Linked DNA regions of Canis lupus familiaris. The main gene of each other region encodes a partner of the protein of the gene in region 6 in a complex. Links are inferred from orthologs where the notes say so. Each region holds a gene or a part of one and is shown on either strand. Other genes may lie near its edges. The genes, in order: CRIPT, CRNKL1, CWC22, SNIP1, EFTUD2, PPIL2 and CWC15.

The links.
Region 1: PPIL2 (region 6) and CRIPT share a complex: the UniProt entries of both Homo sapiens proteins name them as parts of the minor spliceosome. The link is inferred for Canis lupus familiaris from reciprocal best matches to the Homo sapiens genes PPIL2 and CRIPT.
Region 2: PPIL2 (region 6) and CRNKL1 share a complex: the UniProt entries of both Homo sapiens proteins name them as parts of the minor spliceosome. The link is inferred for Canis lupus familiaris from reciprocal best matches to the Homo sapiens genes PPIL2 and CRNKL1.
Region 3: PPIL2 (region 6) and CWC22 share a complex: the UniProt entries of both Homo sapiens proteins name them as parts of the minor spliceosome. The link is inferred for Canis lupus familiaris from reciprocal best matches to the Homo sapiens genes PPIL2 and CWC22.
Region 4: PPIL2 (region 6) and SNIP1 share a complex: the UniProt entries of both Homo sapiens proteins name them as parts of the minor spliceosome. The link is inferred for Canis lupus familiaris from reciprocal best matches to the Homo sapiens genes PPIL2 and SNIP1.
Region 5: PPIL2 (region 6) and EFTUD2 share a complex: the UniProt entries of both Homo sapiens proteins name them as parts of the minor spliceosome. The link is inferred for Canis lupus familiaris from reciprocal best matches to the Homo sapiens genes PPIL2 and EFTUD2.
Region 7: PPIL2 (region 6) and CWC15 share a complex: the UniProt entries of both Homo sapiens proteins name them as parts of the minor spliceosome. The link is inferred for Canis lupus familiaris from reciprocal best matches to the Homo sapiens genes PPIL2 and CWC15.

The regions. Positions count from the first base shown.
Region 1 is NC_049231.1:49,890,809-49,895,489, reverse strand, and holds the start of CRIPT (cysteine-rich PDZ-binding protein), read right to left. Parts: upstream 3,063-4,681; 5' UTR 2,953-3,062; coding exon 2,937-2,952; intron 1-2,936. UniProt on the Homo sapiens protein: As a component of the minor spliceosome, involved in the splicing of U12-type introns in pre-mRNAs. Involved in the cytoskeletal anchoring of DLG4 in excitatory synapses.
Region 2 is NC_049245.1:3,678,302-3,682,913, reverse strand, and holds the start of CRNKL1 (crooked neck-like protein 1), read right to left. Parts: upstream 3,121-4,612; 5' UTR 3,117-3,120; coding exon 2,943-3,116; intron 1,346-2,942; coding exon 1,193-1,345; intron 1-1,192. UniProt on the Homo sapiens protein: Involved in pre-mRNA splicing process. As a component of the minor spliceosome, involved in the splicing of U12-type introns in pre-mRNAs.
Region 3 is NC_049257.1:23,718,340-23,722,234, forward strand, and holds part of CWC22 (pre-mRNA-splicing factor CWC22 homolog), read right to left. Parts: intron 3,665-3,895; coding exon 3,529-3,664; intron 3,432-3,528; coding exon 3,225-3,431; intron 3,131-3,224; coding exon 3,068-3,130; intron 1-3,067. UniProt on the Homo sapiens protein: Required for pre-mRNA splicing as component of the spliceosome. As a component of the minor spliceosome, involved in the splicing of U12-type introns in pre-mRNAs. Promotes exon-junction complex (EJC) assembly.
Region 4 is NC_049236.1:4,998,851-5,003,505, forward strand, and holds the start of SNIP1 (smad nuclear-interacting protein 1), read left to right. Parts: upstream 1-1,573; 5' UTR 1,574-1,708; coding exon 1,709-1,935; intron 1,936-2,075; exon of another isoform or gene 2,076-2,616; coding exon of another isoform or gene 2,617-2,618; intron 2,619-3,178; coding exon 3,179-3,281; intron 3,282-4,655. Other genes in the region: DNALI1 (axonemal dynein light intermediate polypeptide 1), read right to left, coding at 264-344. UniProt on the Homo sapiens protein: Required for pre-mRNA splicing as component of the spliceosome. As a component of the minor spliceosome, involved in the splicing of U12-type introns in pre-mRNAs. Down-regulates NF-kappa-B signaling by competing with RELA for CREBBP/EP300 binding.
Region 5 is NC_049230.1:18,485,954-18,489,848, reverse strand, and holds part of EFTUD2 (116 kDa U5 small nuclear ribonucleoprotein component), read right to left. Parts: intron 3,532-3,895; coding exon 3,453-3,531; intron 1,400-3,452; coding exon 1,324-1,399; intron 836-1,323; coding exon 770-835; intron 1-769. UniProt on the Homo sapiens protein: Required for pre-mRNA splicing as component of the spliceosome, including pre-catalytic, catalytic and post-catalytic spliceosomal complexes. Component of the U5 snRNP and the U4/U6-U5 tri-snRNP complex, a building block of the spliceosome.
Region 6 is NC_049247.1:31,132,200-31,135,522, forward strand, and holds the end of PPIL2 (RING-type E3 ubiquitin-protein ligase PPIL2), read left to right. Parts: coding exon 1-115; intron 116-225; coding exon 226-232; intron 233-386; coding exon of another isoform or gene 387-397; coding exon 398-613; 3' UTR 614-2,610; downstream 2,611-3,323. UniProt on the Homo sapiens protein: Has a ubiquitin-protein ligase activity acting as an E3 ubiquitin protein ligase or as an ubiquitin-ubiquitin ligase promoting elongation of ubiquitin chains on substrates.
Region 7 is NC_049242.1:6,114,743-6,119,325, reverse strand, and holds the start of CWC15 (spliceosome-associated protein CWC15 homolog), read right to left. Parts: upstream 2,871-4,583; 5' UTR 2,740-2,870; exon of another isoform or gene 2,657-2,739; intron 2,542-2,656; exon of another isoform or gene 2,425-2,541; intron 1,294-2,424; exon of another isoform or gene 1,281-1,293; 5' UTR 1,273-1,280; coding exon 1,142-1,272; intron 585-1,141; coding exon 472-584; intron 1-471. UniProt on the Homo sapiens protein: Involved in pre-mRNA splicing as component of the spliceosome. Component of the PRP19-CDC5L complex that forms an integral part of the spliceosome and is required for activating pre-mRNA splicing.

The DNA.
Region 1 (4,681 bases), on a different chromosome or scaffold from region 6:
AGTCACTAGTGACAAAGGGCAAGAGGGCTGACTAAAGAGAAGTAAAAAAGACCAATGAATAGTATTAAAGATCTTGGAGAATAGGAATTGTACACTTTTAGTGGTACCAATTGGTTCATTTATGAGTTTTCCCCAGTGGCCTTCACATGCATGCAGGACAGTTTAAGGAGAGAAGAGGCAAAAGCAGAGAGAGCACAGTTTGAAGAGAAAGGAGCTGGGAGGGGATCACATTAGTTTAACTCAAGAGTGATGGGGACCTCAGGTAGGTTATTTAAGGGGTAAATGAGAGGCTAGGGAAAATATGAGCTATTGAATGGAAGTAACAATAGCAGGACAGGCAAGTGTTTGGATGCAGGTTGACAAAGGGATACCAGAACGAATGAGCGATGAATAAGGCTTTATGAATGGGTGACTGGGAGGACTGCCATGCCATTAAATGATGGAAGAGAAGTTACAGATTTATAAAGTAGGATGACAAATTCAGTCTTGGAAGTACTATACTACTATGTAACAACCAGATGAAGGGTCCCAGTATTGTCTGGAGAAATTTCTTCTATTGGTCTTGGTATAGAGAGAAGTCGGCTGGAGATGTGGATTAGACATTCACTGGCATGGATAAACTACTTGAAGCCAGATATTTCCAAAACAAAGAGTCAAAAGAAGGGCAGATGTCGATCACTGGGAAATATCTACTTTAAGGGAGAGGGAGAATAAGAAAACTTGGAGATTATAATGGTAAAGAAGAAGAGAAGTAAATTCAAAGAGAATCTAGATCAAGTTTCAAAGTCACAGAGAAGCAGAAAGGGACTGAAAGAAAGGTCTTTGAATTAAGAGTCTATTTTTATTTGGGGAATAAGATGGTACAGAAGGTAGAAAGGTACTAGAGCAAAGAAATAATACAGACTTTCAGAAGTGCAGAGAAGTAAAAAGCAAATGACCTTTATGACATATATCACGTCCCAGAGCCAAACTATGTGTATTTTAACATCACATCCGATCTTGGCTTCTCAAAATTTTTATGTGCCTTAGGAAATTACCTCTCAGAATTTGCCCAGTATCCTCAATTTTCCTGGGAAAAAAGCACTTATGGTGTAAAGAACATCACACAAAACAAGTTAAGCCCGTCAGAATGCCAGGCCTCTAAAGTTAAAATGTACCGAATTAACACAAATTACAAAGAAGGCTAATTTACATGTTTAGGAACTACCCTACATAAGAGAAAAGACATGGAGAAGGTGCATAACCTAAATATATGTAAGACATAGTTACTCAAACAAGCAAAACCAAAAAACCTCATAAGTATTGGATGGAGTAGAGTTAAAAGGACGTCAATGTCAAACAGCTTAATGTACTTTTTGGAGCAATGAAAATATTCTAAAATTGATTGTGGTGATGGTCGCACAACCCTGTGAATACGCTAAAAATAACAGAATGGCACATTTTAAATGGGTGACTTCTACCTATGCCAATTGGTAGAACTGCAATAATTTTTTAAAAGCTTCATGTGAGATGATGATGTAAAGCATAGAAAAATGAAAATATCAGTCCCACTCTACTCCTCATAAAATGGAGCAGAGTTTAATGCTGAGTGCCACATACTGGGAGTTATGATAGGAATAACCAGTTTTTGAGTATACACTAAGGCACTTTTATATCAGGCTTTACCTGCATTATCTAATTCTCACAAAACCCCATAAATTATGTATTATTCTCATTTTTCAGAGGAGAAAACTGGAGCCAAGAAATATTAGGTAATTCACCATGGTTATTCCTTTACATAATGTAAAACCTGTGATTCAAACTCATGGGTGCCTGTGTTTAAAGGTTTATCTACTGGGGGGGAGGGGAGAATATAAACAGAATTGATCAAGTTAATGTTAATCCAGATAAGAGGACTTGAAATCTTGTTAAGAAAAGTCTAGCCTGAGGAAAAAGAGACTTAGGGATATGAGAGCCGTTTTAAAACATATAGACAGTCTGTGACATCAAAGAAATCCTAAGATACTTTCCAGAAACATCAAGGGTTTGCATTAGAATCACTGCCTGGCAACTGTAGGGATGAAGGATCTTTTCTTTTCTTCTTTCTTTCTTTCTTTCTTTCTTTCTTCTTTTTTTCTTTTCTTTTCAGATTTTATTTATTTATTCATGAGAGACACACAGAGAGAGCCGTAGAGACACAGGCAGAGGGAGAAGCAGACTCCATGCGGGGAGCCCGATGTGGGACCCCAGGTCACGCCCCGGGCTGAAGGTGACACTAAACCGCTGGGCCACCCGGGCTGCCCAAGAAGGAACTTTCTAAAAGCCAGTGGCATCTACGCAGACTGTTTTGAAGGTAGTGAGGCTTTCTGAACCCTGCCTCAAGACCTCAGATATTCATGCAAAGAACATTTAAGTCAACATTTAAGGATGCTAACTTCGGGTTGCTCGTTAAAATACAGGATGCCCTGTTCAATTTAAATTTCAAATAAACAATGAATGGTGTTTTAGTATTGTCATGTCCTAAAGGTAAGCCCAAAGCACTTTCAGTACTAAGAAGCTGCGAGCAAAGACAAGTCTCAAATATCGCATGGGATATACTTCTAAAAAAAGTATTCATTTTTAAAATGTCTGCTATATCTGGAAACTCTGGGTGTTGTAAAAATGACTTTTAAGATCCATTCCAATGCTGAGGGTCTGTGAGGCTAAGGAGCCAGTCAAGAGCTGTATGGGATGAAATCCCGGGGTGGGGCTGGGGGAGGCAAAGGAAATAGACAAATCAGTACAAAACTGAGAACACTCCGAATGCAAAACCAATGGGAACGGTGAAAGGGATAAAGGACAAAGGCTGGAATCAGAGACTTGTGGCCGAAAGAAAAGACAAAGAAAAGGCGAAGTCCCCGGAGAACTCCTGCTAGCTTCTCCTGGCCTCCTCCCAAAGAGTCAGCCCCTTAACTCACATTTTTCGCACACCATCCTTCCCCGACGGTTCCCCCGGCCGCAGAAACAGCAGCAGCTCGAGAATGTCAACACAACAGCCGGGGCAGACGTCCCCTTCCGGGTTACGAAAATCCGCTTCCGGCCGCCCCGCCCTCCGCCCCGCCCACCGCCCCGCCCACCCCACACCTGAGAGGCCGTGGGAGGCGGGGCTTCTCCCATTGCCCGCCCCTCCGCTCCTGCAATTGGCTGTGCCGCCTTGGGTCTCCGCCCCACAGGCTTGCGCCTGCGCGTTGGCCAGGGCGGCGAGTCGTACCTGATGGTGGGAGGTGGTAGCTCGCGCTCCTCTTCCGCTGGCGGGAGAGTTAGGTAAGCCCAGCGGCGCCCGCCCGGCACGCGAGCCTCCCGGGGTGCCAGCGGCCCCCACCCACTGCCCACGTGGCCGCGAGCGTCTGTGCCCCCGGCCCGCTGGCGCCCGCCGCCCGCCCGAGGGCCACCCTTCCGGCGTGACCCGGGGGCAGCCCCGATGGACCCGGCCCTCGGATCCGTCCCTGTGTGTGGCGCCCTCCGTTCGTCTCGGTCTCCGCGCCCGTGCCCTTTTGCTTATGCCTCTCAGCGCGGCCCCGCCCCCGTTCACACTGGCGCGGGGTGAGGCTCGGGCAGAGTCCCGAGCGGCCGAGGTTGGCGGGGGGCTGCAGGGGCAGGTGCCGCGGGTTGCGCGGGTAAGCTCCGCAGCCTCCGGGGCGGTGGGCGCGGGCCGGGTCCGACCGCGGGGGCGGGGGCGGGGGCGCGGGCGCTGGCCGCCGGGGTGTGCTCGCCAGGGCCCACCCCCGCGGCTGCTTTCGCGGGGGGGCAGACCTTTGGCCCACCCTCTTCTCCTCGTTCGTTCGTTCATTCATTCAGTAAGCAGTTGGGTGCTGCTCCGTGTATTAGAGCCTCATCTGCCCATATCACTTGGGATTCTGAGAGCGGCCCAGAAACATACCCGAAGGGATAGTCCGCTCAGACGGTGTATTCCGGATCCTGCGCCCCTGCCCCTTGGTCAGCGGATCTGCCAGAGAGGTTTCCTTCCTCCCTTCTTGCTCTTCATCCCCTTCTCGGCCCCTGGAGTGTAGATTTATGTCAAAGAGGCGAGGGTTTGACGTGGCTATAGTGCTTGGGAGCTTGGGACCTTGGACATGTCTCCCAACGTGCCTTAGCCTGTTTCCTTATCAGTAGAATATTTGCCTTGGAAAATTATAATGTGAACTAGATCAGAGCTGTAAAGATAAGGCCTTGACTTGCCCTTTTGTTTTTCTGGAATATTCAACCACAGTGTAACATGGGTAACATGTGGACTGTTACTTTGATATTAGCCAGTACTATGTATAAGCTCTGCGTTAGGTAATTTATAAATAAACATATATGTTATACATACCACGATGTGTATTTTATAGAGAGAAAGAAAGATTTTTCTTCTACTTATGCCCTACTTTTGATTGGAACCTAGCACCTGTAACGGACATTGTCATTTCGGTATTTCTGGAGCATTGGGATCCCTTAGTTTAGCATAATGTTCTTTGGCCTTTCCTGATTACACTGGCCACCATTTGAGTCCTGAAGTGTGCACTTGGTATTGCTTGTCATTTGCCAGAAGAGGTGAACTACTGTGATGTTAGACAAGGGTCCCTAGTGGTTACAAAGAAGAAAAAAAAGCAGTTTAGTCAGAGTGTATCCATGGATCGGAGAACGCATAGCTTATATTTCCAACCAGAGCAAATCATTAATC
Region 2 (4,612 bases), on a different chromosome or scaffold from region 6:
TCACGCCCTGGGCCAAAGGTGGTGCTAAACTGCTGAGCCACCCGGGCTGCCCCTCAGGTGTTTCTTTAAAGTCTTACACATGAAGAGAAAAATTTTAGATATAAAGAATTATTAGCAGAATTGTTGGTATTTTCTCTTCTTGCTAATAGCTAACTGACACTTTAATATACTTTATACCTTTTTAAATAAAAACCTGAAAAAAAAATATATACTTTATACTTTTTCCTAGCATGGAAATGTTCTTGACTATTTCTACTAGTCCTCTCAGTAATGTCTCAGAATTTCATACATCACTCTTTGAACATCACTAATAAGTAGATAAAACAGGCTTAGTGGTTTAAAATTATCCTACAGGTGCCTGAGCGGCTCAGGTGGTTAAGCAGCAGACTCTTGAATTTGGCTCAGGTCATGACTTCAGGGTCATAAATACAAGCCCTGTGTGGGTTTCCACACTGAGCCTAGAGCCTGCTTAAGATTCTCTCTCTCCCTCTGCCCCTCCCCCTGCTTACACGCTCTTTGTCTCTTGAAACAAACAAATAAATAAAATCTTTTTTTTTAAAGATTTTATTTATTTATTCATGAGAGAGAGAGAGAGAGAGGGAGAGACAGAGAGGGAGGCAGAGGCACAGACAGAGGGAGAAGGAGGCTCCATGCAGGGAGCCCAATGCGGGACTCAATCCTGGGTCTCCAGGATCATGCCCTGGGCTGAAGGCAGTGCTAAACTGCTGAGCCACCCAGGCTGCCCAATAAAATCTTTAAAGAAAAAAAAAAAAAAAAAATTACCCTAGAGTGAGGATTCTAGGGTGAAGAATCCAAGTCCTCTCTCAGCTCTTTTCCAGGTCTCAATTCTTACCATAAAATGTACAGAGAGAGTACATAATGTGACCTTGGTTAAGACCAGCCCCTTCCAACTGTCAGATGTTCCACTTGTTAAACTTCCATCTTTGATTCTGCACCAAAAATTATGTCTCTGGTGGACTGAATCTCTTTATACTTTAAAAGACAATTCATGGCATATTTTGTAAAGTTCAGCAAAATGCAATTATTTGGTAACCAGGAGTTACATTACTCATGTGGCTAGAAACACTAACCTATTCTTATAGCCTCTCTAACCAATGAGGAATTCTGCAAACTTTGACCTATAAAGTAATAACAATGTTATTAATAGACTGAAAATATCACCCTGACTGACCTTCCTTTTTCTTAGTTTGTAATCATTTAATTCTTCTTCATCTGTGATCTTCTGTTGAGGTGGAGGAGGAAGAAGCTCAAGTTCTCTTTCTTTAGCTTCTCTTAAGAGTTGCTCAGCAGTTATCTGTACCTCAGCTGGGGCTTTGTTTTTCACCTTTTAAGATAGAAGATATTCTCATTTTTAGTAGATGCTCATCACACAAAGTTTAGGAAGCAAAAAGACATTTTTTTAGGATGGGAACTTTGTATTATTACAAGATGCCCTCTTCATATGACAGGTTTTCATTTCTCTATGAAATTAAACAGAAAACAAAGTTTTCTTTCTTATGCATGGTATTTATTACAAAGCCATAGGTAAGTCTTCAGAGAAAAGGTAGCAAAAATAGCAAGTGTTCTCTTTTAGATTAGAATAATAATAAACCTTGAGGCTGCTCAGGTAAATTCTCACTAGAGGTGTTTTATGAAGATGTGTGCTGTATCTTTCCTAGTGTTACACTCTCTATTTACAGAACTTTTCAATTATGCCCCATGTGGATGATAATGCCTCAAACTGTGTTTGGTTGTTTTCATGGCATTTCAAATCAAAGACAGTTCAATAAATTCCCATAATTAGACAGACCATAAGTTTCTTGAAGTCTTAGAGCTGTGCTGTCCAACATAGTAGTCATGAGCTAATGCAGTGAGCCCAAATAGAGATGGACTGTAAGGGTAAAATATACACTAGATTTTGAAGACATAGTGTGAAATAAGCCAGTAAACTGCCTGATTAGATTTCCTATGTTGATTACATGTTCAATTAGCAATATATTGGATACAATGGATTAAAGAAAATATACAGTTAAAATTAATGTCACCTGTTTTGACTATTTAATGTAGCTACAGGAAAACTTAAAATTACATAATGTGGCTCACACTGTATATCTGTTGGACCACTGGTGCCCTGTAACATTTTATGGAATTGGATTATAAGAAATATTGTTTAATGCCATGTGTGGAATGACTTTGATAATAATGACTACAGCTCATATGCAGTCACAGATGCTGTGCTATGTGACTTAAACGGATATGTAAAGGACAAGCTCAAGAGAGCCACCTGGGCTGGAGAGACAGACTGGAGTGAGGGCGTCCGTAAAGGTTCAGGGTAAAGCCCGTCACACATTAAGCACTCAGTGAGTATCAGTCACCGATGGAACTATCATATAATACCAAACTTACTGTTTAATTAAATTAATGCCACTACACAACCCATGCCCTCTCATTCTTTCCAGGCTCAGGGGGCCTAACTCCTAGTCAGCCACCAGGTGTCGGCTTAAACATCACTTCCTCAGGAAAGCGGACTCGGCATACCCCTCATACAAACCCCATCACTCCGCGGCATATCCTACGCCGCCTCACTCGTATTCGGCAAGGTGGCAATTTCACATTGGCTCGTGTCATTTGTGAAAACGGCACATTGCCCGCGTTAGGTCGTAGTTCCTTCCCCAGCGCCTAGCGCGCTGCCTAAATCCTGCCGAATGACCCCACTCCTCCCTCCGCAAAAACACGCCCTAGAAAGAAGGCCGCGCCAACGCGGCGTGGGAAGGGAGCGTCTCCGGGGCGACAAAAGCCTGCGCCCCACCGCCTGCCAACCCTTCCACTCGATCCACACGGGGTAGGATGGCTCTAGGCAGTCTTCCGCCGCGGGCCCCGAGGAGGCTGGGGCAAGCCCCTCTCCGGGGCCTCCTCCCACAAAGCCCTTCGCGGTCTCCTACCTTCGCCACTTTGGGAATCCTCTGCTTCCCGGCAGCGGTGGAGGCCGCCATGGCTGCAGCACAAGACCGCGACTCAACCTGGACCCCAGAAATAGACCCCGAGGGCTGGACAGAATCCCAGGGATTTCCGACAACAAGCGAGATCCCAAAACAGGAAGCGGAAGTTGCTGGCATGACCTTTGACTTCACGCACGCGCCGTGACGCCGGCAACTTCGTTTCTGTGGTAACCGGGCTGAGCGTCCTCCTCGGAGAGCAGTGTCTCGGAGTTGCGGGAGAGGTGGGTAGTGCTGGCTCGCCCGACAGGGGCGCGGGGACGGAGTCCGGGGCGCCAGGGGCGCATCCCCAGGTCAGTCTCCGGAACTGGGAGGACTTGCGAGGATGGGTGGGTCGGTCGAACCGTGGCTCCGGGGAAGGGCAAAAGGAACAAAGCTCCGATCCGGAGGCTTGGGGTCGGGGCAGAGAGGTAGGCCAGAAAACTTCCTTTCCCAGCATGCCAAGGGGCGAGCTGCTGCGTTCCTAGGTGGCCTGGCGCCGCGTTGCGTTCTAGGTTTTGTAGTCTTGGAGGTCTCTTTTTTTTTTTTTTTTTTTTCTGGACAGTTGTGCACAAGTGAAGTAACTGAAGGCATCTTAAAGCCAAATAATAGAAAAAAATGAAAATAAATCATCAAAGTACTAGCAAATAAACCATCCTTGTGGTCAGATAAACAGATGCTTAATTTTTTGTAAATGTGCCTTAATTACATCAATTCTCTTAGCCCCATGGTGCTTAGCTGTGAGACAAAAAGAATAGTATCTATTTTATCATCATTAAGGAGAAAATCTATGTAAAGTGCTCCGTAAATGTTAGCTGGTGTAATTCTTGACCTATCTTCAAAAGAAAAAGCTAATTTTATGCAAGCAAATAGTGAAGAGAATTTTTTTTAAAAAGACTTTTTAAAATAGCAGTTTTAAGTTCACAGAAAAGTTGAATGAAGGTACAGAGAATTTCTGTTTCTCACACCTGCCGTCCCGTTTGCCCCCACAATCGATATTCCCCGTGAGAGTGGTACATTTTTGTAATTGATGAACCTACACTGACAGCTCATTATTCACAAGTTAACATTAGGGTTCACATTCTATGGAATTTAGTGACCTGTATCTACCATCATAGAATGGTAAAGAATAGTTTTTCCATCCTAAAAATCCTTTGTGCTCCATCTATTTATTCCTCCTTCTCCTTTTGCCTCCTATAACCACTGATTTTAAAAAATTTTTAGGGCTGCTTTTTTTCAGAATGTTGTGTCATTTGCATCGGTATGTAGCTTTTTTAGAGTGGTTTCTTTCACTTGTTATATGCATTTGGGCTTCCTCCCTGTCTTCGTGGTGTGATAGCTCACTGGTTAAGAAATTTTTACAATTGCAAGGCTCTTTTGGTATTCAGAAAAAATATTCATAAGTATAAATATATGTGTGTATTTTATGTATTTAAATCTATCTCCGTAAATAGTGCTATTGAGAAAACGTTAACTGAAGTCATTTGTAACCAGTATAAAAATATTTGCCATAGCTCTGTTCTACCTATGTACTTATTTAAATATTTGTAAGTTATCTCACTTTTCAAATTTTAAATAAGTTGAATGAGATTTTATATGACTGAAATAAAGTCGCCTAACAAAATAAACCAATAACT
Region 3 (3,895 bases), on a different chromosome or scaffold from region 6:
GCTGTTTTCCCAAATGCTGTAAGACCTAAAACTCAAGTGCACCTGGGTCACTCTAAGGTGCTAATTACTAAAGCTGTGCCCACTTCCTGCTGTGGCCATTTTTTTTTATGCCAGTTCTAGAAGAACATTTCATGAAAGAATGAAGGTCAAATGAATTGTCTAGTCGTTTACATCATCCTCTCCTCATCTCTCCACTTGAGAATCTACTTACTGAAATTACTTAGGCAATGACAACTGGATTTCATTAACAGAATGAAGCAGTGGTTTCAAGGTATATAGTCTGATCCCCCTGGGGGATCAGTGACACCTGCCAGGTGATTTGTGAGGTCACAACTATTTTCATAACAATACCCAGACATTATCTGCCTTTCTTTGTGCTGCCATCTACAAAGGTCCAAAAGCAATGAGGGTTGAAGCTGCTGCAACCAGAGCACGAATCAAGGCACCAAAGTGCACCAGCCATCACTGTGCTCTTTACTGCCATACTCTCAGAGGTGGGAAAAGAGCCAGTTTGACTTGATAATGTCCTTGAGGAAGAAGTAGAGAACTGCTAACTTCACTGAATCTCACCCCGATATGTAAGCATGTATAATCATCTGAGTAGCAAAAGATGAATTCGTACACAGCCCTTCTGTTAAAGACAGATGCACACTGTCACGTGATGGTTATCTCAAAGAAAAGCACTTGTGAAACTCTTTGACTTGCAAGGTGAATCAGTGCTGTTTTTCTTTTTACTTGAGAGAATGACTGACACACTATAGTTGTTAGGTATTTGGCAGACATTTTCCCAAATACAAAGTGAGAATGTCACTTCAGGGAAAATAATTAACAGTATTTACTACCATGATAAAATTAGAGCTCTCAGGAGAAAATTAGAGAAGTGGTATCCATTCCTCCGAGCTTGACAGCTTTCCAATACTTAAACTTCTCTAAGGTGATACTAATAAATGTGATTTCTTGATATTGTGTTAATGTGTTCATTTAATTTTGATAATGTTAACATGTTAACACCTAGAAGACATGCATAACTGGGTGAATGGGCATTTTCTAAATGACCAATTGAACATGTTGGAAAATCATGCATGGGTAAAAGATCCATTCAAAGTGAGAGGCCAATGGAATTTAATGAATTAGAATATGAAGATTCATGAATATTGTTTCAGGTTTCACATTCCACTTAATCTTTAAGAAACGATTAGCCTTTAAATACTGGCAGAGTACTAAGGAAAAACATACACATTATCTGAAAAGGCTATTAAAATACTGATCTCTTTTCCAACCTCATATTACCTATTTTCTTCTATACTTCAATCAAAACAACCTACTGCAATAGACTGAAATCACAAACAATATGAAAATCGATTTCCTATTAAGTCAGACATTAAATTGTATAAAATATAAAACAGGCCATTTTTCTTAAATTTGTTTCACAAAGTAGTTATTTTCATAAAAGTATATAACTTATAATATGAACACTAAGTTTCTGTAATTTTGAAATGATATAGTATTTTTAATATTATCAGTTTTAATTTCTAATAAAGTAAATGTCAACAGATGTAACCCACAAAACAAAAAAGCTCTTTGAAGTCTTAAATACTTTTCTAGAGTATAAAGGGAAGTTAAGTTCAAAGAGCTTAAGAAGTGCTACAATAAAGAAAGTACTACTTTCCTAGCATTGTTCAACCACCGATATCCTAAAGAAATGGATGAGGAGTTCCTAAGTTAAAAAAAAAAATTCATATGAGGTATGATAAAAATTTCATAAAAACATTTAGCATCTTTGAGTGATACTGTAAAGAAAGTTCATAAGAAGGCAAAATGGGTCTAAGGAATTCTTCATGTTAAGAAACTGAATTGTAATAGCAAAAAGAATCCGGCTATTGCAATGAAATGCCCCTAGGAAAATGGCACCTGAGGAGAGTAATCTATTTATTGAAACCGGGATTTTTATAATAATTCATAGAAATGGAAAGCTGCTTACATCTTACTTTCTATTTCATTCTACTTCCAAGCCTGACAACAGCACAGAATGCAGGAGATTGACAGAGCTCTAGGGCTCCTGCTCTCTCTTCCTGAGAGCATTTAGAACAGTAAATACTTCTCATATAAAAACACAACTCAAGGGAAATAAACCCATAAAATTATAATTATACAGATAGCCCTGAAAATTAGCTTTAGAAGAAAAATGATACAAATGTCAAAAAAAAGTGCATTACCTAAATACTTGCCCTGTGATAATACAAAGCACAATATTTTTTACTTATCCTTAAACAAACAAGTAACATTGACGTCAAACAAGTAATTTGTTCCAGGTCACTTAGCTAGTAATGGCACAGACAAAATAAAAACCAAAGTCTATCCAAAGTTAGTGCTCATAATATACTGATGACATACAAATGATAATAATAATTTATTAATTTTTCGAGCACTAATAGCCTATCTGGAATTGTGATTGATTTTATCAGGATATCAACTTACTCTCAAGAAATCATAAAGCATAAGATCTAGTTGAATATTAAACTGGGTGTCAATTTAAGCGCCAATTCTTATGTGGTAGTGAAGTTAAAATAAAGGCCGCTAGTAATATAGGGACTTTATTTTTTAAGATTTATTTGAGAGAGAGAGCAAGCATGCACAGACAGAGGGGAAGGAGAGGAAGAGAATCTCAAGCTGATGCCTCACTAAGCATACAGCCCACAGCAGACCTTGATCTCAGGACCTTGAGATCATAACCAGAACTGAAACCAAGAGTTGGATGCTCAATCAACTGAGCCAGCCACTCAGGAACCCCTATATGGACATTTCTTAAGAGGAAAGAGATTTAAGTAAGGTCTGTATGATTTGAATAGAGGGAAAGAGGACAGGGATAATAAGGTAAATAATTTAGAATGAAGTAGACCACAAACAGCACTAGACAGAAAAATGATGCATGGGAAAATAGTGAGGAGAATGGCTTCCTAAGAGCAGAGATTTCATTAGGTCAATAATCTAAACCTTTCTATTAGTATTAATAGAACTACACAAATTGCTTCTACTTATCCAAAATAGATTATAAAACTCTACATACCTTTCTTAATAGCTTTGTACTTCTCTTCATTCTCCATAAAATTAGGATCCATCTTGAAAACATCTTGAAAAAATAAGTTAAAAATTATTTATTTTCTATATTTACATTTATGGTGTCCTACTTCCCAACTCCCTCTGCCCCCCACCATCCAACTCACTAAGAACATCTTCTGGATTATAGTCATCCTCCAGAGGGAGCATATGGGTGAATTGATCATCTTCTTCCACTAAGTCCAGTCCCTCTAGGATAACAGGGTGGTCCTTGAATCCATCCTTCCGTACAGCAAACATCACTTCAATCATATACTGAACTCTTTTGTCAATTTCAGACTCATGAAGAATGTTTCGGAGGCGCTCAAATATAGCTAAAGTGAAAGTGAAAGAAAAAAAACCAATAAAATAAGCAAAAAATATTGTAATACTCAAATAAAGCTCAATGTCAAACCAAAGGTATATACTTACCATTGATTCCTCTTGGTGACACTTGTGTTAATTTGAGGCCACATTCCTTGAGGAAACCAATAGCTACTTCAACACTATCATCTGTTGGTCTTTCCAGGAGCAAAGTGAGCATCTCTAGGCATAAAACTTCATGTGCCTTAAATAGAATGAAGACATATGGAATAGAGAAAATGCTTTCACATATATTAACCTACTGTCAATAGTAATTTAAAAAATTAGCAAATCGGTTTTTGTAGCAATAATACTGTTCATATGATGACCAAATTTTAGAATGCATACAGAAATACTCCAAATATGGGATACAATTTTTCTTCACTTTCATTGTATCTGTTAAAACTTTCTAGATGATTGATTCAGAAGTCTAAAT
Region 4 (4,655 bases), on a different chromosome or scaffold from region 6:
AAGTTAGGTCTCAGCTGAAGGTGGAGAGAGCCTGCGGTCCCACCCCCGGCCCAAGGTCTGTATCTCCTGGAACCGCTGCTGCAGGCGCAGGTGCTCAGCGGCCTGGGGATGGAGCGAGCGCGACCGGACCAGTGTGCAGGACAGCGAGCCCCATGCACCCCGGGGCTTGCTTCCTCACCCTACACCAGCCCTCCGGGTGCCCCCCGGGTGCCCCCCGCCCCTCGGAGCCTCCGGGCTCCCCCGCCCCCCAGGCCCGCCCTGACCTTGGGGCTCCGCTTCTCCGTGTTCCGGCTCACCAGCACCGGGGTGTCGTACTTGAGCAGAGAGTCCGCAGGGGGGATCATGGCGGCGACGCGGGTTCGAGTCCGGCGGCCGCCCCTCCAGCGTGCTCCTTGTTTGCCGTCACCATGGAAACCCCCCGGCCCCCCCGCCGCGCCTCGTGGCCTGGGCGGGGCTTCGGATGGGGCGGGGCCAGCAGCGCAGAGTTCCCGCTCAGCCTCGCCAGGAATTCTCCTCCCGCTCGGTTGATCGCGGTTCCTGCCCCGCGGGTCGCCTTGATGCTCCTGGAAAACCACGCCAAACGGGAACGGAGTCCCCACGCTGCGGCTCGCAGGCCATTGCAACGAGGCGCACGGTCACCTTCGCTGGCCGCCAACTTTGTCACCTGCAGAATGGGAGCCCTGTGACTCCTCGGTGGAGGCTTGGGAATCTGCAGATTCCCAGAGGGAGGCACCTGCAGCTCCCCGGTTTCTTTTTTTTTTTTAATTTTATTTATTCATGAGAGAGAGAGAGAGAGGCAGGGACACAGGCAGAGGGAGAAGCAGGCTCCACGCAGGGAGCCCGACGTGGGACTTGATCCGGGGTCTCCAGGGTCACGCCCTGGGTCAAAGGCAGGCGCTAACCGCTGAGCCACCCGGGGATTCCCGGAGCTCCCTGGTTTTCTTTTTAAAAATTAAAAATAATTTTTTTGCTCCCCAGTTTTAAAAAGTATTTGTGTTGGGGCGAGGGGCACCTGGCTGGTTCAGTCAGTAGAGGGTGAGACGTCGATATGGGGGTGGGGAGTTCCAGCCCCACCGCTGGCTCTAGAAAGGACTTGAAAATAAAAAGTAAAAAAAAATAAATAAAAAAAAGTAAAAAAGTAAATAAATTAAGAATTCATTTTTTAAATTAAATGGAGAAGTGACAACATAACACGAAGCTCAGGACTAGCAGGGAAGATAGTAATGACTTGCCCCCACCCCCCCGGGGGGCTGTCAGTGATTGCATTTCCTTCTCTGTTTCCTCTTTTTTTTTAAATATTTTGTTTATTTATGAGAGACACAGGCAGAGGGAGAAGCAGGCTCCACGCAGGGAGCCCGACGTGGGACTCGATCCCGAATCTCCAGGATCCAGCCCCGGGCTGCAGGCGGCGCTAAACAACCGCTGAGCCACCCGGGCTGCCCAGAAGCGTCTCTTTGACGTTTAAAACTCCCGCCACCCGAGCGGCTCCCGACAGCCCCTCCCGCTTGCAGGGTCGTGGTCACGTGCTTCGCTCGCCGCCGCAAGGGTTTCTGGGAGAGCGCGCACCCGGAAGCGGAAGTGCGGGGGGTCAAGCCCGTCGTTTCCTTTAGCGAGAGGAGCGCAACGGATCTCTCTCTCTCTCTTTTTTTTTTTTTGTTTGTTTTGTTTTGTTTCCCTCCCCCGCTTCGCTCTCTGCTCGTATCTCAGCATGAAGGAGGTAAAGAGCGAGCGGGAGCGGGGCACCCGGCGGAGGCACCGCGACGGGGACGTGGTGGCGGCGGCGATGGTGGTGAAGGTGAAGCAGGAGCGCCTGAGCCCGGAAGCCGCGCCGCCCGCCCACCGCCGCCCCGAGTCCTCGGGCGGGAGCGCGTCCCCGCCGGCCGGCGACCCGGGCCGCCCTGGGCACCGCGGGAGCCGAGCCCGAGGAGGCAGCCGGTAAGTGGGGGAGGCGCCCGGGATGGGGACTTGGAGGAGGGGCGGGGCTGGCGTCAGAGCCCCGTTTTGGGAGCCGAGCGCGGCTGCTCGGGTTTCATGTCAAAGGGGGTGGGGGGGGGGTGAGCCGGTGGCGCTGTGCGGGAGAGCGTTTACGGCGGCCCCTGCCTGATGCGCAGGATCCCGCCCCCCTCATCCCTGCGCCCCGCATCTGCCCGGACACCGCGCATATGGACCCGAAATAAAGGCTCCTCCGCATCTGCCCGCACATGGGCTGCCGGCCTACTAGGCCTTCCAGACGTCTGCCCCAGAAGCCCTCCGCCTTGGCAGCCCAGGCGATCCACCTGGTAGGCAGTTGGAAGAAAAACCATCTCTTGCTGGACTGCTCCGTGTATTCCTTCGACTTAAGTTGTGAGCGCGTTGCTAAAGGAAGAAAGACAGCCGTCGCTCCTGGGGCCTCGTGCGGCCTTTGCCCCGGCGAAATGGAATGGGTGTGCTCCCGCCTCGAGACAGAGTAACAAGGCCGATAAAATAGTTTCCGTATGTAACAAGTATTAAGAAGCGGCTCCAACCGGAGGTGTGAGAGCGAGCCTTGGAAGGAAGCGAGAGAAGGAAGGCCCCTCTGAAAACGTGCGGTTTGCGTTGAGACCCGAACGATAAGGATTGTCCAGGCTGGGGAAACCCATGTGCGCAAAGAAGCTGAAGCCCGGTTAATGTGATTGTTCTAGAAGTGGGAGTGCGGGGTGGGGGTGGAGAGGGGTCGTTTAGGGATCAACGGAGGGGAGAGAGGCGATCTAGAGCCGGAGGACTGACTCGCTGTCGGATTGACGTGGTTGTTGCCGGAGAGTGTCGGGAGCTATTGCTGGGGAAAGGAAAGGGGAGTCACGGGGGGTTCTCTGGGTTTTTTGGGCTTGAGAAGCAGGGTGGATGGTGATACCCGTTACTGAGATGGCAGAGGCTGAGGGAGGAAAGGGCTTTGAGGGGTTGGGAAGCAAGAGTCAGGCTCTCAGAATGCTCCAGAGGCAGCTCTGTGTGTGTGTGTGTGGGGGGGGGGGGGGGTCTGAAGCTCAAGGAGGGTGTCCCGGGCTGGAGAGCGGAGCTCCCCGCCTTCCTTGGTGTGAAAAGCAGAGCCCTTCACTGGATGTGCTGTTTGTATTGTTAGTAAGTAAGCCTGACACTTGACTGTGAGTGTATATGGGGGAAGGGAAATTGAGATAAAATCCTGTGTGTACCCTGCTCCAAAAAGGTCCCCAGCCAAGAGGAAAAACAAGTCCTCAGGGAGAAGAAGCAAGTCTCCTCGGAGTAAGAGAAGCCGAAGCCCTCACCACTCGACAGTCAAAGTGAAGCAGGTAAGCGGACCGAGATGTTTTGATACCAGGTCCAAATCTAGAATCTCTTACCGTCCTGACAAATACATGATCCTAGGTGTTTACCTTTATCCGTAGCGGGTGTTTCTAGAAACTGGGTTGTTGTTGTTTTTCTACTTGTTTTGTGACACCTTTTTAAAAAAATTTTGAGAATTGTTGATTTACACACTCAGCTGTTTTAAAAAATAAAAAATACAGAGGTACGTTCTTCACTGTGTTTTTCCCACTGGTAGCATCTTACAGAATTCCAGTGCAGTATCACCGGGAGGGTATTGACATCGTGACAGTTAAGATGCGAACATTTCCATCCCCACAAGGACCCATTGGGTTGTCCTTGGATAGTCTCACCCGCCTGTCTCTCATCCTTAACCCCTCAAGTCCTGGCAACTTCTAATCTGCTCTCTGTCTCTATAACGGTTGTCACTTCAAGAACATTATGTAAATGGAATCATGTAAATGGAATCATCCGTCTAACCTTTAGGGATTGGCTTTTTTCACTCAGCACATTTCTTTGGAGATTCATTCAGCTTGTCTTTGTCAGTATTTGATTCCTTTTTTATTGCTGAGTGATACTCAGTGGTGTGGTTTTAACCCTTTACCCATTAAAGGACAAGTGAGTTGTTACCAGTTTTTGGTTATTGTGTATATAAGGTTGCTGTGTAACATTTGTATACAGGTTTTTGTGTGAACACGTCTTCAGTTTTCTGGGATAAGTGCCCAGGTGTGCCATTGTTAAATGGCATGGTGATTGCATGCCAGACTGTGTTCCAGGAGGGCTGTGTTGGTTTTCTAGGGCTTCCATAACCAAATACCACAGACTGGATACCTTAAACAACAAAAATTAATTTTCTCACAATTCTGGAGGCTAAAGTCCAAGGTCAAGGTGTTAGGAGGTTTTGTTTCTCCTGACGCCTCTTTCCTTGGTTTTCGAATGGCTACCTTCTTGGCTGGGTCCTCACATGGCCTCTCCTCTGTGGGCTTGCATCCCTGGTGTCTCTTCCTCTTCAGATAAGGACACCAGTCATATTGGATTAGGGCTTTGCTGTCAACTTAATCATGTCTTTAAAGACCTTATCTCAAAAAAAGAAAAAAAAAAAAGAAACCAAAAACGGATGCCTGGCTGTCTCCGTTGGTAGAGCAGTTGGCTCTTAATCCTTAATCAGGGTTGTGAGTTCAAGCCCCACATTGGGCATGGCACCTACTTTAAAAACCAAACGCACCCCCCCCCCCAAATGGTTACATTCTGAGGATGGGAGTTGGAACCTCGACATATGAATGGGGGGAAGGGGCGTGATTCAGTCCATGACAGTGGCTGTACCGTTTTCCATCCCTACCTGTGTTGTGGGTGAACCACTT
Region 5 (3,895 bases), on a different chromosome or scaffold from region 6:
TTGGAAAAAAAAAAAAATGAAGTGCTGTTACCACCTGACTCCAGACTCCTCTCCCATACAAACCATCAATCACTTTCCCCCACCAGCTCCCAACCCAAGGGTTTCTGTCTCAGGAGGTTAGATGGAAGACAGAAGGGTATCCTACAGAAAAACCAAGGCCCTCTCAGATAGAAAATGCTCCCGGATGGATGTTTTTTTTTTTGGAGGGGGGTTGGGTAGGAGGGGGTCAGGGTGGTCCCTGAGGACCAGGTATGGCTGGAGAGAGCTAAATTCTATCAAATGCACTGAATCCTAAAGTAGTAAAGGGAGACACATCCAGCCTTTATGGAACCCCCCACACGTCAAAACACTCAATCTAGCAGACATGGAACATTTATTGCGCTGAGACCTGCAGCCACATTTGGCCTCATTCACAGGCATTTAAATTTATCACAGAAAACAACAAGGTCCAATTGTATTATATTTATAGAGTAGGCTATTAATACCATGACAGGAAAGAATAGGCTATAAAAGTCAGGATATATCAGAACAGAGGAAAGATCCCAAGTGCAGAACAGATCATCCAAAAATACTGCAGGTTAATATTCTCTAGTCTCCTAAGAAAGTTAAAATTACTTTCTTTAAGGCTATGAATAGAGATTACAATTATAAAGCAGCGCTTTGTAGGCGTCATTATTTATAATGAGAGTGAGAAGGAAGGGGAAGGAGAGCGACACCCCTGTATATTCTGAATGGTTCATCCTAAACCTTCCACAGAATTTCTACTTACATCTTGGTCATAGCGCTTCCTGATTTCCGGGTGAGTCTGCTCTATTAAACAATCTACGAAACACGTCTGAAAGAGAAGAGAAGGTTAAGATGTGCCAAGCACAAAGGAAAATCTACTCTACCCTTCCCTCAGTGCCCAAAACACCACCTAATTTAGGGATAAAGAGAGGAAGAGGAGAGCAAGGAGGATTATGGGACAGCAAGGGATTAATACTGAAGCCACTGAAGCCATAGGATTATCTTCAAATGAAAGATGAAATCTTTCTTGGACAAGCATTCCCCCAGGAAATGAAAACTTATAAAATGAGAGTAAGGCTCAATTTCTCCTCTTCTGTACAGATGTAGACACAAGGCTGCAAGTGGCTTAGAAACAGGCTCCATCCACTGTTCAGGAAAAGCTAGAATTTCATAGCACAGTTTCACACTAAGCATGGAGGTCCCCCATTATCAGAGGTCCATCATGATGGCCTCAAACCCCAACTGTGACTCTGAGGCCTGAATAAATGAGCAGAAACTAAGAGAAATCGTGTTCCAAGTAGCTGAAAGTTCTCTCACCTTGCCATGGTGGAGATGGCCACAGAGGGTTACATTTCTGATGAGCTCTGAATTATCCATCAGATCTGCCAAGAAGCTGAAAGGAGAAAGGAAAAGAGAAAAGGGACTTTGGCAAAAGCTTCCAAATGGGAAGTGGTACAAAAGTGTTTCATGAATTTTGTCAGGAACAATTTTCAGACCAACTGGAGAATGCTCAGAGGCAGATGTGAATTTCTACATCTATATGGGTTTGGCTCTGGAAATGGAACAGACTTATCCATGACATGACACAACCCATGAAATGGGTTTCAAGAGCAAAATCATGAGATTTCAAAAGTAAGCAAGAAAGGCAAAACCAAATATAAGGACACATGCACGCACATACACCAGCACTGTCCCTTTCAAAATCCTCAGATTAGATACCACACATTTATTTCATTGATGCAAAGGGGATTTAAAATCACTTTGAGAGTTTCCCTTTTATTTTTTTAAAGATTAAAAATAAATTTTTTAAAAAATATTTTATTTATTCATGAGAGACAAGGAGAGACAGAGACACTGGCAGAGGGAGAAGCAGGCTCCATGCAAGGAGCCCGATGTGAGACTTGAACCCGGGACCGTGGGATCATGCCCTGAGCTAAAGGCGGGCGCTCAACTGCTAAGCCACCTAGGCATCCCTAAAATTTATTTTAGAGAGAGAGCGAGAGAGAGCAAGCATGAGCGAGCAGAGAGGGGAGGGGGATGCAGGGGGAAAGAGACAAGCAGACTCCAGGCTGAGTGCAGAGCCTGATGTGGGGCCCAATCCCCATGACCCTGAGACTGTGAACCAAGCTGAAATCAAGAGTCAGACGCTTAACCGACTGAGCTACTCAGGCACCCCAGCTTCTCCTTTGAAATTGCCCTTAGAAAGAAAAAAAAAAGAAAGAAAGAAATTGCCCTTAGAGCTAGTTAACAAAACTTTTGAGAAAACTCCATCTCATTAATGATGCTGAGGAGTTCCATCTTGATCAGAACGGCACTTTCTTGCTTACCACATTAATTCAGAGGACTTTGACTCTTTGAAATATCAAGCCCACTTTAAAAGATTGGAGATTTTAAAAACCACCACTGAGAACACACAGGAATCTGAAGCAAGTTCTAAAGATAATTGAAAAGTTTTTCAAAAATGGCTGAATGTTGGCAGGTGGGCTGACCATTTCAGAAGGGATCCCACTCTTTTATTTTTTTTAATTTCATTCATTCATTCATTCATTCATTCATTCATTCATTCTTCAAAACAAAGAGAGACAGACAGACAGAGGCAGGCAGGGGGAGAAGCAGGCCCCATGCCAGGAGCCCAATGTGGGACTCGATCTCAGGTCTCCAGGATCACACCCTGGGCCAAAGGCAGGCGTCAAACCGCTGAGCCACCCCGGGACCCTCTTTTTTTTTTTTTTAATAGATTTTATTTATTTATTCATGAGACACACACACACACACACACACACACACACACAGACAGGTAGAAGGAGAAGCAGGCTCCATGCAGGGAGCCAGACGTGGGACTCGATCCCGGGTCTCCAGGATCAGACCCTGGACTGAAGGTGGCGCTAAACCGCTGAGCCACCCGGGCTGCCCAGATCCCACTCTTTTAGACACAGTAGATTTCAACATGTTTAAAACAAAGAAAAGTTTCATTATCTAATAAATGAGTTCTAAGCACTTCAATATATGAGGACCTTACAAGTGCATTTCATCAATGAAAATATTTTCAGAAAGTCTGCAGTACAAAGAATCTAAAGTACTCTACACATGTAGAATATTTCCTTTCCATAATAAAGAGTTGTTATATTCCCCAAACAGCATTCTCACCAAGTCAAAATAGGCTCTGGTTGCCCCAACATTGATGATTACAATCCCCAGTTCTGTCTCAAAGGCCAGCTTCTAATACCCAACTAAAGAATTGGAAGAGAAAAGGCTGAGATCTGAAGGAGAGGCAGGAGAAAAGTTAAGATGGACTCTACACATTCCAGCAAACATGTATGCTCAAGGAAAATTCTGGCAAATTGTAGGAGAGGATTTTTACTTTTACAATTTACTAGGTACTTCAACCATAAACTACCTCCTACCTCCACAGAAAAATGAACCCACACTGAGACCTTATAACTTACTCCATTTCATACACCGTGACAGGTAACGTCTGCTCCATCAGAGTGAATTTCTTGGTTTTCACTGGCTTAATAATAGGTTCTAGGGGAGAAAAAAAGAAGTGATGTACAGGTTGGCATGAAACATAAAAATGCAGAGCCCCATTCCATTAGACGGAGCTTTCATTTTTTTTAAAATAAGATTTATTTATTTGAGAGAGAGAGCACGCGGACGAGCACGGGGGGGGGGGGGGGAGAACAGAGTAAGAGGGAGAGAAAACATCTCAAGAGACTCCCCACTGAGCACAGAGCCTCACGCAGGGCTTGAGCTCATGACCCTGAGATCATGACTTGACCCAAAACCAAGAGTCAGACATTCAACCGACTGAGTCACACAGGCGCCCCTAGACTGAGCTTTCAGAATGTATGATATGTGACATCAATTTGTTATAATCAAGGATCACTCA
Region 6 (3,323 bases):
TTGAGGAGGCAGCGGCCCCGGAAAGCACAGTGAAAACCCGCCAGCCCAAGCCGGGGAGCCAGGGGCCCCAGACGTACCGCCAGGGGGTGGGCAAGTACATCAACCCAGCAGCCACGTGAGTGCAGCGCGGGGCTGGCCGTTTGCACGGTGCTCTCCAGGCTTCCCAAGGCCCACAGGCCACAATGTGCCAGTGGCGGGGGAGCACCAGGCTTCGGGGCTGAGCAGTGAGCAGGTGTCCTGGGGGCCACCGTGCAGGCTGGAGATTGAGGACTTGGGTGGGGACTGCGTGGCTGTGACGTCACATGCAGCAGGTGCTGTGGGAGGGCGTGGGAGGGCGTGGGCGGGCGTGGGCCTCCAGCTCGAGGAACTGATCCTTCTCTTTCCAGGAAACGTGTAGCAGAGGAAGAGCCCTCAACCAGTACAGCTGTGCCTGTGGCCAAGAAGAAGCCCAGCCGAGGCTTTGGGGACTTCAGCTCATGGTAGCAGCAGGTCTGCCCCTCTGGATCCCCGGGGGGGACTGGGGGCCGGGGGCCTGTGTCCACAACCCCGTGTTTCCTGCCTCGTCACCTGCCCGTCTGACGACACCTCGCTAAAGCTCTTGCTTGTTGCCTGAGGCCCCCTTCCTGTGGCCCGCAGACCAGCCAGCAGTGTGGGCGAGGAGGGCCCCCGACTCTGGCTTTCCCACCCTCCCCCACCCCGGCTGTCGTCGTCTCAGGGACTGTACTCAGTGTATCACCTGGGACCTGGTTACACACACAGAATCGCAAACCCCGGACCTTCCGATCTGGGGACTCGGGGCAGGCTCTGCGCTCTGCTGACACACCTTGGGGGGCTCTCGCTGCCAGTGGCTTGAGGACCCTGCATGGGAGCCTTGCCATTAGTTTCTAAAACCTCTTCTGCTGCCTCTTGCCTGGACTCACTGGGGCCTGGCCACCCACCCAGCAGGGACTCTGGGTGGTCACAGCCATGTTCCCCGTGGGCCTGCTCTGGCCAGCCCAGGTGCGGGCTGCACCCAGGACTTCCTGCCTCTCTGCCTCAGGACAGGCACAGGAGCGCCCGTGGAGCAGCTCTCCGGTTCCTGCTGCTACTGATGGATGCGCCGAAGGCCCTGCCCAGCTGGCGTGACCCCCCTTCCACCCTCAGGGTCCCTCCTTGGCTCAAACACTTGACCCCTTGCCCTAGCACTAGGGCTTCCAGACCAGCCTCACCAGCGTTTCTGGACTTAAAAAATCCCTTCCCTTTTTATTTTTCTATGTCTTAAAAAAAAAACTTAGCACTTGCTTGCCTGCCCTTTCTCACTAACTGTTCATTCTGGAGCGTGTGCCTGCGTGGCTTCCACGTTCTCGACACTGACACCACTACCTCGGCCTTCCCAAAGCACCTCTACAGGAGCGTGGGGATAGCTGTCCACCCCTCACCCCCACTCCCAAGACCTAGTCCTCGAGTCAGCATAGGCCACAACCCCCTCCAGCTTGTCACACTATCGTTCTGAGGCTCTGTCCCCGGTTCTTCCCCTCGCCCAAACCTCAGATCCATCAGTGAGTGTCAGTAGTGGCTCCAGAATTTACCTGGGCTCTGCTTTTTCCCATCTTGGATGCTGAAACCCCAGACCCACGCCTTGTCTCACCTGCCTCTGTTCAAGTCCCTTGCACACACCCACACAGATGCCATCTGGGTCACCTTCCCAGAGCTCGTCAGCCTGTTGGCATTTTGCTTCCCAGCAGTCAGTGGCTCGCCTCCGTGTGAGAACAAGGTCTGTGCCCCCCACGCACCGTGCCCTCTGCATACCCTGCCTGTGAGTGCAGCCAGGGCCTGGGGCTCTACGGTGACCACTCAGCCCTCTGTGCCCATGGCCAGGCCTGGCCCTCTTCTTCACAACCTCATCACGACCCCTCCCGGCTACATCCAGACATCTGATAGCTGGTGAAACGCTTGTGTCCCAGTGTCTGTGCCCAAAATGCCTCCAAGATCCGGGTTCACCCAGGAGGAGAGGGCTGCGTGTGGTGACAGCCAAGTGAACACACTTGCAGGCCACCAAGTAGTTGCTGGTGGCTCTGGGTGCGGGCAGAGGCCCTGGAGAGGGGGTGTCCCAGAAGGCTTCCCCTGCAGCCTTTGGGGGAGGGGGAGCCCAGGTGACCAGACCAGAGCCACCACAGGAGCTCGGAGACCCTGACCCAACACTCCCAGCAGGAAGCCGGGGCTGTCGGCCGAGAGCAGAGTGCCCGGGACAGGACGTGCGACTGAGAAGGACAGGTCTGACATTGGAAGCTTTATTGTTCAACCTCACACAGACACAGAGGACGGAGGGCTGGACATGGAGGCTGAAGGAGGCTTGTGCACGTGAGCTTGGCAGTCCTGCTCAAAGGGGCAAACCTTCGGACTGCTGTCCATCTGTCCGTCCCTCCAGCTGCGCCCAGTGGCCACACTCACCTGGCCCCAGGCAGGCCCGGGCCACCCTGGCTGCAGATCCACCCAAGGGTCTTTGACAAACAAGGGTTTACATTTCTGTAGGTTGTTCTGGAATTTAGTTTTCTAGATATTAAAACCACTCAGATTTTGTAAGTACCTGGTGAGGTCACCAGGTAAATTAAAGGACTTTTGGAAAAATTCCCATGTCTGATCTCGCCTAGTATCTGACAGATGCCATCAAGAATAAGTGTTAAGGTACAAAAATACTATATATATATGTAGATATAAAACGGCAACAAAACTAAACCACGCTTCTAAAGCAGATGTGCTGCGCCAGAAAACACTACATAGTTTTAAGTTAAATGCATTTATGGTCCTGGCATCCCCTCCCCATTCTTCAAGGACAAAAATACTTTAAATAATTTAAATAAAAGACACAGGATGATATTTACTGTTTAGGGATTTAAAAGGGTGGAACATTCCAACACTCCACCAGCATATCTGGTTGTGGTCTCGAGAATGTCCTTCCCTGGAGCCAGCTCACGGTCTGTTCATTTGGTTTCGAAAGGAGCTTCGATTTTGATTTTTCGGAAGACCAACAACAAAAAAAGTGTTGAGTTTTCGTTGGTATCAGTTACCAAAAACAAAAAAAACCAAAAAGTACAAAAGAAGGCCTAAGACCACTGGTAAAAATGTTTCAATGCCATCACAAAAGACAATACAAAAACCAAAGTGCTCAAATCAGAGGAGCAGTAAACTTGCCCAGAACATACAAAAGCTTTAAATAGGAGTTCAGTATGTACACGGCTCGCTCAGAAGACCTCGGAGCGCCCTCGGTTTCCGGGAGGAGCCGGCGGGGCGTCGGGACGCGGCCCTGTCCCGCGGCGGGCGAGGAGCCGAGGCGGCGAAGGTGG
Region 7 (4,583 bases), on a different chromosome or scaffold from region 6:
TCGTTGCTGTAAACAGTCAAAACCTTTAGGAGTGCCTACGTGGCTCAGTCTGTAGAGCATCTGACTGTTGATTTTGGCTCAGATCATGATCTTGGGGTCCTGGGATTGAGGCCCACCTGCTTGAGATTATCTCTCCCTCTGCCCTTCCCCCTGCTCATGCACATGTGCTCTCTCTCAAATAAATCTTAAGACAAAAACCTTTACGTAAACTGAAACAAGAACTGCCAGATATCCCCAGATCATCCTGTTCCTTCTGCTAAGGAAGCACAAAGAGATGGAACTGGAGTCAACTCTAATCTAATCACTTAAGAAAGTGTTACCAATCTTAAAGCAAACAATACTTTATATTGTTTACGCCAACATTTTAAAGCAAGCAAACAAAAAATATTAATCAGCTCCAATTAGCCATGAAAGAAAAACCATTGTCAACATAATTTCATGATGACAAATATCTGGGGGCAGTGTTGGTACCTCTTGTTGGACGGTCTCTGTTTTTTTCTCTTGCAGCAGCTCTCTCTCTCTCTTCCAGCTCCCTCCTGAAGTCACGGTTGCGAACCTCTTCAGGGGCATCCTGAGTAGTTTGTCTAAAGCAGAAACAATTTGGTGAAAATATTACTAAAAAGATACATGGCTGTAGCAGGGGAAGACAGTTCGCAAAAAGCCACTTTGTCCTCAAGTTCAAGGAACTAAATGAGATCATTACCCTAATCTGAAGGTCACTAACAGGCATTCTTGTAATGTTTCCAACGTTTCAGAAAGCCCAAACTGAGTCACATATTTTCCCATAAGGCTGGGGAGTAATTAAAATGTCTTTACTTTTTGTTAGTACATCAATTCAGGGCTCATTAGTCTGACACTTTTCACCTCACACTGAGTAGTGCTGATAGTGGATGGGCCCTGAGGTCACTGCTATTGAGCCATCTACATACGGAAATTCCCAATTAATAGGGATTTCTGCATAAGTAGTACATGGTAGTGTTTTAATAATCAGAGCACAGTTTTAATGTTAAACACTCTATTGCATTCTATCCCTATGAAAATAGGTTAGTGATATACCCCAAACACGCTAGAATCTCATGAGCATGCCATTTAACAGATTTAGTCTTGTCTTCTGAACAAGAAAATAAAAAGTCTTCATTACCTATATTTTATCTTTGTATGAGAAGGTAGGTCTCTACTTGAATACTGCTTTGAGAGTTGGCTCAAATCACCTTCTCCTTTTCCTCTCCCACCTCTTGCAGGTTCAAAAGTTGGCCTAGCTGCTGTTGTCATCTTTTATGCTTTAAAGAAAAACTGTATCAAGTTATTTCCAATATGATATATTCTCATTTCATAAGATATTAATAATATTCATCCTTGTGAAATAATTTCCAGAATTCATTCTCCAAAATTAATAATCTCAAACAAAAGTTCTCAAGAAAACACATAATGAAGCTCAGGGTATATAAGGAATATAGCTTCTTAGGCAACTCTTATTTAGGGCAAAAAATTCTCTCATGAAGATGGGAGTTGGTGTTCCTGTTCTCCTTCTGTATCTGGGGCCCTGGGCAAGTCATCCAGCTCCAAGTTCTGAGGAATGGGCAATGTCCCCCACAGGGTTATTATTAGAATTGAAATGTCAAAAAAAAAAAAAAAAAAGGAATTGAAATGTCAAAGCCTTGCAAAATTTAGTACTGCCAACACTGAGTTTTAAAAATTCTCAGCTTTATGGGCAGCCCAGGTGGCTCAGTGGTTTAGTGCCGCCTTCCGCCCAGGGCCTGATCCATGGAGCCTGCTTCTCCCTCTGCCTGTCTGCCTCTGTGTCTCTCTCTCTCTGTCATGAATAAATAAATAAAATCTTAAAAAAAAAATTCTCAGCTTAACCCTAGTCCACCAGATGCCCTAAGGTTTGCACTTAACCTCATACAACAGAAAACAGGCTACTAACTACAAAACCAGGTTGTTTTAAAATCACCGACAAGGTTACGGAGTGTCCTGGAGTAAAGTAGGCTAAACTTTAAGGACAGTTACACGGGCAGGATTCTCCAACAACCTTTTGTCGGTCCAACTTTCTTCTATAGCAACGATTAGAATACAAAGCAGATTTTTGTAGGTGACGATGCTCATGAAAGGAAAGTCACCACCAAAGGATTCCGATAAACAAAACTCGGGGACCCCTTCCGTTACTTCTGGCTTGGGGCTGCCAAGAGGGGTGCCTAGCAGACGTGGCTACTCAAGTCCCGTCGAGCGTCCGAAAAGCCAGGTGCGGGGAACCGGGGTGGGGGAGGCGGGCACTGAGTGTACGTCCCTCGATTTTTTAAAAAGGGAAAAGGGATCTGCGCCGAGAGAGCCCGGGTTTCCTGCCGCTGGGGGCGCCGCCGCCGCCCGCACACTCCCGGATTTCGGTCACTCCCGCCTCCCGGGGGCTGGCCTTCGGGCTGTTACCAGAGGCTCGCTGGCTCTTCACCCCGAGGCCCGACTCGCAGGGGGTTCGGGGGAGGAAGGGGTGTGGACCCCGCTACCGCCGCCCGCCTACTGCCTTCACGCTGCGCGCTCCGCGGCCGCCGCCCGCCCCCGCCCCCGCCCCCGCCGCGGCCCCTGCGCCCACGCCCGGCCCGCTACCGCCGACTCCGGCCGCTGCCGGCCTTCCCCGCCCCACCCGCGCGGGACGGACAACCTGCTACCCTCCCGCGGCACACGTCGACCAAGGTCTAACGCGACAGCCTCCGCAAGTCACACAGACACCATGACGACTCTCACCTCCCAGCAGCCTCCGCGCCCAGGACCGGGCCCGAGCCCCACGACCCGGAAGCAAACCCCGGCTCTTCAGCCGCACTTCCGAGGCCGAGGCGGAGACCAATCGGCAGCAGGCGGGGTGGAGGTCGGCGTGATGACGGCGGGGGGCGGGGCCGAAACGGCCCAGGGGGCGGGCGTTTGAAATCCGTGCTTTCGAGTAGACCCGAAACATCGTTTTATACCTTCAAGAGCCAATTACTTAATGTCTCTCGCGTCCTTCCCTTCCCCGACCCCCTCCCAGCCTCCTTCGTTCCGCCGCTGCGTGGACGGAAAGCCCCGGGTAGCGGACCGCGAGTCCCCGGCTAGCGGGAGGGAGCGTAGAGAAGGATTACACCCAAGTGTTTAAAGCCAACGGCTCCGGCTTCCTCTCTCCTGAGCTAGACCCAGCCAGCCTAGAGTGGGCTGCGGAAAAACTAGTGTTTTCATTTAATTGGATATGAAGAAAGAACAAATATGTACGGGGGCAACCACGATCTTTATAAAGGTACCATTCCTGCAAAAATACTAGTCTTCAAGGCAAAGGTTGTATTCGTATTGTTTGTTAACATTTCCATTTTTTTTTAAAAAAGCCTGAGTTCTAGCGGGAGGGGAGATGTCACTATTAGAGATTCACTTATTAGCCCGATGATGAGCGTTTGGAACGCTGGGCCCAACTGCCAGGAGCGCGAGATGCAGTTCCTGGAAGATGGCTACTCGGGCGTTGGGGGAACTTTTAATGAGACAACGAACGCCAGTCGTCCGTTCTCCCTTTTCCAAAAAGCACTGGGAGCAGGGAGCTCGTTTGTTTAGTCCATCTTGGTATCTCATCACATGGTCTTTGGCCACAGTAGATGCTCAATAAATATTAGACAGATGAAAATTCAGCATCTCCAACTTGGTGTCAAATATAAACAGCTCATAAAATCGAGCATTAAAAAGCTTTATTTCCAGAACTCTTCCTTTGAAACCTGTAAATTCTTTTAAAAAGTAGAAGCAGCCCCTTCCTTTCTGAAGGTCAAGATAAAAAATTTTTCTCTTAGGGATGGTGTTTCTCCCCTAGTTTTGTACGTCTCAGTAAAGGACACTGCCAGGTACCACTTATTAAACCAAAACCTCAAGGCTCCTGATTAAATCCCTTTTACTTGACTCCTCACATATAGTTTATTTCCAAGACTTGTCCATTTTACTTTTAAAGTATGATACCCAAAATTTCATTCCCCTGCCACTACCCTAGTTCAAGCCACTGGGATTTTTCACCTGCATTATAATTGCTCCCTAATGGACCTTCCTGCTTCCACTCTGGCCCTACATACGGTTAATTTTGCAGATAGCAGTGAGAGTGATCTTTGAAAGTTATGGATCAGGTAGTGTTACTCTTCTGCCTAAAAACCCCACTGCACTTAGAATAAAGGTCAAATTCTTTAATGTGACCTGAGAACCCAAGGGGTCTGGTTCCCGCCTATCTGCCTGACTTCACTTTTAATCAGACGTTCTTTTACATATTGAACTCCAGCCACAGCCAACAGGGCATTTCTGTTTCACAAAGGATAAGATTTCCTTTGCACTGGGTTTTCTCTTGCCTGTGCCTCAAGATAACCGTGTTAACCTCCTTCAAGCCTCAGCTCAAATGTCACTGCATCAGTGAGGCTTTCCCTGACATCTTCATTTTCTTCCCCACACCCCCAACATTCAAATACCATCGTGTCGCCCTCCTTTATTTATTTATTTTTTTTGTAGTCCCGAATACTACCAAAGTTATTCTATTTATTGTTTCTCTCCTTGTTTCTTGTCTGAGAAGGAGCACAGCAAAGTCATTAAGGGAAAGAGAT